2 linked regions of the Caenorhabditis elegans genome follow. The protein of the gene in region 2 interacts with the protein of the main gene of each other region in a pairwise test. Each region holds a gene or a part of one and is shown on either strand. Other genes may lie near its edges.

Region 1 (3,431 bases), on a different chromosome or scaffold from region 2:
GGCGAAGTTTAAGTTGCCATAAACTTTGCGCCGAGACCCATCTGAATAAATCCGTGCGACTTTAAGAGAGCATGTCAAGATCTCTGAATAAAAATAAAAAAGATCAGAAAATGTCATTTTTGAATTTCAAAAGTAAGTAAGTTAATCGGAGAACTCCCTCACCTTCAAGAACAGTCCTGTGAAGTGCCAACACTTTAGGCCATTTTCCAATAAATTGTTCATACTTGTAGGTCAAGGATCCTTCTTTAGCTGGAGTGGCTGGAGGTGGACCGGCTGATGTTTGTCTGAAGTAGAACACATTTTTTAGAGGGATAATATTGAATTTAACGGATACTCAGAATAAAACAGGTTTTAATGATGAAAAGGTCTACCTAACAGCAACAAGAAAAGTAGGCGAATTGAGCACACTGTTACTGCGATGAAGAAGAATCCTTGACAATGAGTGCATCTGTTTGAAAAAAAGTAGTTTTGTCAAGGAAAAACAAACGAAAAAGTAGAAAAGGCACAGAACCTCATGGATAATTGAAATAATTGTGTCAGGAATAGTAGATAAAACTTCATGTTATTTCCTGAAACTAATAGTATAACAGGCAGGCTAGAATCATAACCATGATCACAGGTTTGTGGGAATCAAAATGACTGGAATGGGAATAAAATGGCAAATTTTGGGCGGAGACAGGAAGTTAAAATACATATATGTACAACTATGTACCAGGGATCGAAATATATAATTAGAGTATACATGTTTACCCATGAGTGTTCAGAGATAAACGTGAAAATATGAAAGACATTGATTTTACTAGAGACGCGTGACTTGGGGAGTTCCAACAGACGTGCTACTGTTGATGCGAATGAGATGGCGATAATCAGTGCCGTTTGCTTCCTTTTCTTGTGGATTTTGTACATTTTTTAGCTCCTCATCAAGTTCGTAAAGCGTGCTTTCAAGTGATTCGTCTTCCTCCTCATTGCCATCTAAAATTGTTACAAATAATCAAAATAATAACCGTAAACTCGACTTACGTTCATCGTCATATAATGCTTGCAAATCTTCTTCCGTCTTTTCGAGCATCCTCAATTCTCTAATTTTTGCATCGAGCATGAATCGTAACTGAATCGACCGCATGCTCAATTCCACGATTCTTGCTACATCTTTGAAGACCAGAACGAGACTGACTTGAAGACACTGAGCAATTGATTCGACGATTTCTGCATGGGAGGCAGTGACGACGCTTTTTTCATTGACAGCAATGACCATGTCGCCTAAAATTGCAGTAGTTGGCAGGAAAAGCTGAATTAAATGATTGAATACCTCGTGTTATCCCGCAGCGATCAGCTGGGCTATCAGCCGACACGTAATCCACATAAGTTATTCTTTCGTAACTGTTTGAAGATGTTCTTTTGAATACATATGATTGGAGAGCAAAGCCAAAGGAAGTTTCAAATGTTTGACGACATAGAAGAAGGCTCCGTTGTGCGGATTCTTGATTGATCCCATCGAAAAGATAATCATTCAGTGGATATTCTTCCTGTAGTAACGAATATTATGGTTGTTCTTCAATGGAGAATCAAATAATTACTTTTGCGTCACACAATAGTCGCTGTTCAGAAATATTGTCATCCGGCGTATCATATTTTGAAGAGCTCGAACTCGTGGAAACCGCACTATGAGCGTCGATGTGATCCATAAAAGCAGAAACTCTGAAATAACATATATTAAACAAAAAAACATGTTTTTAGAGTTTTTTAAATGTTTAAACAACACAAGACTCGAAACAAAGTCGATAAGTTGTAAAATTGGTGAGAAGATGAAAGGAAAAGCTAGAGACGAGAAACATGTACGCAAGCGCCAGATTCGACGCGCAAAGTTTATAATGGGAAATTCGGTAATAACTTTAGAAGAAAGCATATAAAATTATTAAACTTAAGTAAAAAGTGACTAAAACACAATCATCATGCAAAAAAATAAACGACTAAAAGACCAAACAAATGACTAGCGCGTGCGCACCTTTTCTTATTTGTTGTTGAAATATATGAAGGTTACGGTATTTACTGAAACACGCAAACACATGACACGCTTTCGAAATTTCAGCTTTCGAAAACTCGTTCCTAAATACTTTTCCTACTTTTGTGAAAATTCCCTTGATTTTTGTCAAAATAAGGATCATTCGCGATGAATGATTCTTATGCTGAATATATAGCACAAGTAAATGAGTTTACGAGGAATTTCTGTATGAATCCTCAGCGATATCTCGCTGGTAATCAGAGAGGTTTGTGGAAACTTTTAATGACCTAAGTTTCAAGTCGATTTTCAGATTTATCCCAGCCGCTTCCTCCACCTGTACTCTCTGGTGAAGCAGTTCTACCAACCAGTACTTCTGTTCCTCAGCAAATCGCGCAAACGGTTTTACTTTGTTTTCATATTCTGATTGATAAAATATGTTTCCAGAACATGGTTCGCTCAAGTGAAGTACCACCTCAATCTCTTCGACAGGAAATTCAATCATTTACATCGTCAGAGGTGCCCACTAGTAGTCAAGTTGCTGGAGTGAGAAACTCGTTCACACAAAGGCTTCTCCCAATCCAAGAATTGTCGAATTCCGAATCTGTCCCAGCCTTAGATACTGCGCTTGTTCCTTCCAGTTCCACTTTGGCAGCTTCATCACAACGTCGTCTTTCATCTCAATCAATTCCTGTCCTGGTTGGTTTTAACTTTTAATTCCCGTTTAATGAATTTTATTGACAGACACGCAAACTCGGTTCAGTTCAGCCTAAAGTGGATGAAGCTCCAGCTGAAATTATAAGAGAAGTGAACAACTTAAATATTCATCATGGAGCCAACAATCAGGGTGAAGTTCCGTCTTCCGAGTTGAACGCTGATCTCGATGGGGTTTTTGAAATGGTCCAGCGTCATCAGTTCCCGGTAAATTAGAGCTTTGCAGTTCTCTCAAAATTTTTTAGTTGCAGCGTCCAAGTGTATTGATTCCAGCAGAACAAATTGAACAAAGTACATGGCTTTCTGAGTCAAATGATGCTGCTATTAACATTTCTCAAAACAATGACGTCATCGATCCAAATAAAACAATACCATTCATTGCCAGCGGAAAGAGTATTGAAAACATTGATCTTCCATATCTTCCGGGTCAAACGGTTTTTCCTAACATGTTCACTGAATTAACTGCTCGTCTACGTTCCCAAGAGAGGGAAGAACTTCTCCGGCGAGAGTTGAATGAACTTAGTATGAATCAAGGAACATCAAATCAGTTTGATCAACAGCAAATGGTTTAAAAAAATTAAGAAAATGGGATTTAAATTAAATTCATTTTTTAGAATTCTCGTGTCATTCCGAATTCAATGGGTACTCTATGGGAATCATCAGAAACTGGTCAACAAGGTGGTACATCTTCCTCGTCTACCGTCCAAGCATTTCAACA
Region 2 (4,940 bases):
CACAGCCTTGGTTGAGTACGTTGCCTTTCATTTAAGAACTCTTTGTAGGCACGTTGGTAGGCATGTTGTTCTTGCTCGTATACATTAAAACTGTAACAATTGTTTCAGGTCAAGAAGCAAACTCCAACAACTGTTTCGCTGTTGTGATGTCTGATGAGATGCCAAGTACAATTGAAAAAGTTAAAATGGAAAAAGTCAATTCACATTCATCAGTTTCAATGATCAAGACTGTTAATGAAAATTTCACCGCTTATGCAAGGTTGGTAACATCTTTAAATTTCTATTCTTTAAATTTTCTTCTTTTTTTCAGTCAAAGCGCAACATTCTTCGACGAGTCAAAAGTCTATTCAAACCCAAGTGATATGTTCTTCACAAATCTTCGCAAAAATCATCCGGAAAGTGCACTCAATTCTGAGCAAGCATTCCAAAGTTGGTTCAATGATCAAGTGGTGAGAAAAACCGAAGGAAAGCGAATGCTCGAAAAATGTGTGGAGGAGCTCAGGACATACACGACATCATAATTTAATTTTATTACGGGGGGAATTTATTTTTGAAATGGTTATGTATAACCATGTACGATCTTACGTGTATTTATCTCACTGGAACGAAGCGAATAAATTACAATTTAATGCTAATAATTTACAAATTTAAGAACAAAACAATTAAAACAGTCCTAGGAAGTTGTTGTTGATGGCAAGAATTGCTGTAATTAAATTAAAAATTAGAATTATACTTTGATTCTTTTCTAATAGAAAAAGTGAGCTTTTAGGTAAAGTTTACCTGCAATAAAGAGCATTGAGACTGTAGCAAAGCTGGAACTCTTGTTCAAATCGGTTAAGCACCACTGGAAAAGTTAACATGATTAAATTCAAAAACAAAAAAAAAACAATACCTGATCGATTGGTTGATCTGGCTTGATAGTATTGGCAAAGTTTCTGAGAATATCTAAATCACAGTATGAACTATTTTGAGGACATCCTTGAATTCCCATAGTCACATCTTTGAATCCACTTCCGTCTTGCTCGTGATATACCATTTTGAAGTATGGTTTCTTGTCGACACTATCAATGTAAAGCTCTAAAAGGACTGCAGCAGAATACAATGGATATCCACCAGACGGTTTTACAGCGTATTCTTCAATTAGAAGTGCGGAGAAGAAGGCGTAGATTGTGGTGTCGTGCTGGAAAATATTTTTTCAACATTTTAAAAATATTTAGAACCATTGTTTTATGGTAAAATTAACTTACAGCAGAGTAAATGTAATTCTTCAAATTATTAATCCATGTGCAATTTGGAGTTGTCTGACCCTGGCACATCAATTTGAGATTTATATGCATAACCATATCATTCAAAATTGGTCCACCTCTGACCTTTCGAGTTAACACTCCTACATCATGTCCGTTGACAATGTTTGGAACAGCTGAAAAATAAAATTACACTTTTATGAGTTGTTTTCTCAATTAATTGAGTCGCTCAGAGGATGGGGAAATTTGAAGTTTTCTCGGCGCCCATTTTTGACCAGCATTTGACCTAACTTCCCGTCAAAGTTTCAGTCATTTTATGTCCAACTTTTCAAAGTTTGATTTTTTTTTGATAATAAAAAATTAGTCAAGAAATGAGATACTACTGCCGAGCACACAACAAATACGTTTTTTCTTATCACTAATACGATTTAAAACTATTTAGAAAAAGCTTCAGTTACAAAGATAAATAATAACAATAGTATGTAAAAATTCCAAAACAAAAAGTAACTACCTACTTTTAAAAATTCCATTTTGGAAAAGTTGAACTTGATCATTAATTGCATCAGCTTTTGCATAGAAGGCATCAGTGAACCAATTGTTTTTTGTACGAAGAGTGGCATTATAGTAAATTTGCTGCAAATATCATATTAATGGGTCATACTTGATCTTTACTCTTTTTACTTCAATGTAAAGAGCATTGGTGATAATCCAAAGGTTATCAATGTCAACTGGCTGTCCGCAGTAATTCGTAAGATTTCCTAGCACTGCTTGAACCTGAAATAGACACGAAATATGTCAAAAATTCATGTCACTGATAAGCCTCACATCAGCAGAGTTGACAAAGCTCTTAACTTCATCGGAAGTTTTTGCAAGTTCCCATACTTGATCTTTGAATGGGCATGTAGATTCCATGTTACCCAACTGAAATTATTTAAGTTTGTTTCCTATATCGGAGTCTTCTCTCTAGCTTTTATGCCACTCTTAGTGATCAAAATGACAAAGTACAATTTTCCTTCAGTTTCAGTTTCAAGGCATTACGAAATATTTTCAGGTAAATTAATCATACCACCCTATCATTTTTCTAATCGTCTTAAACTTCACTTGCCAGCACTTTGTCACTTAAGTCTACAATTCATTTTAAAGTAATCGGATTACGGTAGCACTCACATGATCAGTGTCATCATCGACTGTATGCACAGCAATTGGGACATATCCAGCTGGCCATCCATCAACATCTGGATAATCTAGGCCTGGTGTGCTACTGTTGTCATTTTGTCCGTATTGTCCGAGCAAGTTGGACATTGCAGAAATAATTGTTCTATTAACATCAGTAGACCGGACATAGATCTTAACAAATATAATTTCACTCGGAAAGTGCACATCTATAAAATTACCTGTTTGGCGTTGTACTTGTTAGGCAAAAAGTTGTAGTTTGTGACGTAGCGATTACGGAGCATTTTACCAAGATTCAAGTGTTGTTTCATTCCTGCCTGAAAATTGCATTTGATACTTTAAGCTGTAGAAAATATATCTACTTGGATTTGTGAAAGTATTTGAGTATTTGTAAAATGTCACTAAAACTTTAAAGTAATGACCGAAGAAGAATTTGAAAGATCTGTGAAAGCTGGGAAAGCAAAAAAAGTTAAAATTTCTTCAGAACCAAATGTATTTTAGATACTTCTAATTTGCACAAAACTGACCGGGCTCAACTGTCCCCATCCACCACCTCCGAATTGCCAAGCATCCTCTTGAAATGGATCAGTTTTGAACGTTTTTGTTGGTGAACGATCTCCGTGTCTCCAAAGCTTAAAACTCGAAAAATTCAACTTCTCTTGAGATAACTTCTACCAACCGTTTGAACAAAAACAAGGTCTTTAGTACCATCAGAGTATGTAGTCACGAAACCCTCAAGGGCAAAAATTGCCACAATGGAAATGGCAGAGACCATAGTAAAAGTTACCCCTGAAAATGCGGAAAATGTGATTTAGAGTTTTGTGCAATGAAAATCAAGTTCAGAGACGAAACAAAAAACCGGAGCATGCCGGAGAAATTGTAGTAATGTCTTTTATCAGTTGGCTACTCGATGCCAATATTCGTCTCCTTCTTTTTTTGATAATGATCAATGCTTCTTTATCATCATGCCACTGATGAGTGTCCAATTCTTTAGTACAGTTTACATAGAAATTCGACTTTTATTCAAGTTGGTTTGTTCCCGGAATTTTGGTTTTTCTACAACTAGTCGCGGCTGATGCAATTTTGCATCTTCAGTAACTCTACAATAGTCGTACTTGTCACATCTGAGGAAGATCCATCTCGAACTGCTGCTTTTTTTTTGTTTTTAGGCTTCCCCAAACTTATATGTTGGACACAAATACATTTTTTATTTTATTTACAAGTATCAATATTATTCTAATATAATAAAAGATTATTTAGATGAAACAAATAAATAAAAAATTGAGAACGCCAGAAGAGATGAGAAGATTGATGAAGTTGAAGTGCTCTTCAGAATATTGACATCACACCACTGAAACCCTAATTATTTTTAAAAACTTAAAAAATCCCAATTACCTGGTTCATTTCCATTTCAGGTTTGAAAACGTCGGAATAGTTTTTGAGCACTGCCATTGGACAATAGTCGCCGCTACCCTCACATCCAGGAATTCCTAAAATTTCGTAAAATTGACATGCAAATATAATTCTTTTAGTTGAATTTCTTTGGAAATTTGACCTATTTCGAATAAAAACCCACCTGATGTAATCACATTGCTCAGAGTATCATTTTCATGACGATGGTAGATCAACTGAAAGAATATCAATCAATTTATTAAAACTAATCGATTATTTTAGAAGCTCACCTTGAAATAAGTCTGATTCGTTTGCACATCCTGCCATTGTTCAAAAAGAGCACATGCAGAATAGAGAGGATATCCACGTGGCTGCACAGCCAATTTGGCGACACCGAGCAATGAAAAAAGGGCGTAGAGGGTTGTGTCGTGCTGGAAGGATCAAAAATTTTACTTTTTACATTTACTTTTTTCAAATAACATTTGTTCAAAAAAGATTTCGTTTCTTCAATGAAAATACTACAAGTTGTGCAAAATAGTTTCTATCAAAATTGAAAGCATGTAAGCTACTATATGAAGTTAGTTTATTTTTATAAGAATCACAAAATATGAATCACAAATTTGAAATATTGCGATTGTTAACAAATCACAAAAATTATGCAAACTCACTGCTGAATAAGCGAAAAATTTCAATCGATTCGTGTAAGTACACTCTTTTCCATTATTTGATGAACATTGCGTTTTCCTATTCATATGATTGTAGATGTCATTGACTAGAGTCCCACCACGAATCTTTCGAAGAATCTTTCCAATGTCGATTCCGTTTACCATTTTTCCTGGAAATTGGAATGAGTTTAATTTTTAAGAATCTTGTTTTTTTTTCCTTCCGAATTTTTTTTCTGAAATTGTTAATATTAAAACATGTCTCACCTTCCAAACCCAAACCATTTTGAAAATCTTGAACCTGCGAATTGACAATATCAATTTGCTCAAACAAACTGTCAGTGTACCATGGTGTGAATTGTTTGAACTGAGCTGGATAATATTGTTTCTCAATCTTAAGTGCATTATAAAGAATCCATAAATTATCTGGATTAATCTCTTCTCCGCAATAATTTGTTAGATTTCCCAT

What was found. The genes of interacting proteins can lie anywhere in the genome.
Region 1: the proteins of pho-1 (region 2) and gras-1 interact in a two-hybrid assay, tested with the Caenorhabditis elegans proteins (one large-scale study listed by BioGRID).

Annotation. Positions count from the first base shown.
Region 1 is NC_003279.8:7,834,081-7,837,511, reverse strand, and holds gras-1 (General receptor for phosphoinositides 1-associated scaffold protein 1 homolog), read right to left. Parts: upstream 1,705-3,431; 5' UTR 1,686-1,704; coding exon 1,578-1,685; intron 1,527-1,577; coding exon 1,310-1,526; intron 1,261-1,309; coding exon 1,021-1,260; intron 973-1,020; coding exon 800-972; 3' UTR 545-799; downstream 1-544. Other genes in the region: F30F8.9 (Letm1 RBD domain-containing protein), read right to left, coding at 163-284, 372-448; F30F8.1 (RING-type domain-containing protein), read left to right, coding at 2,171-2,267, 2,313-2,401, 2,447-2,698, 2,744-2,920, 2,965-3,279, 3,328-3,431.
Region 2 is NC_003280.10:5,232,641-5,237,580, forward strand, and holds pho-1 (Intestinal acid phosphatase), read right to left. Parts: upstream 3,207-4,940; 5' UTR 3,193-3,206; coding exon 3,097-3,192; intron 3,050-3,096; coding exon 2,945-3,049; intron 2,735-2,944; coding exon 2,639-2,734; intron 2,592-2,638; coding exon 2,412-2,591; intron 2,166-2,411; coding exon 2,070-2,165; intron 2,019-2,069; coding exon 1,926-2,018; intron 1,878-1,925; coding exon 1,760-1,877; intron 1,421-1,759; coding exon 1,248-1,420; intron 1,181-1,247; coding exon 893-1,180; intron 845-892; coding exon 781-844; intron 704-780; coding exon 663-703; 3' UTR 522-662; downstream 1-521. Other genes in the region: EGAP2.1 (DDE_Tnp_ISL3 domain-containing protein), read left to right, coding at 109-259, 311-521; pho-4 (intestinal acid PHOsphatase), read right to left, coding at 3,670-3,768, 3,813-3,907, 3,994-4,045, 4,100-4,240, 4,478-4,644, 4,739-4,940. UniProt on the Caenorhabditis elegans protein: Acid phosphatase required for normal growth and development. Specifically required for normal gut differentiation.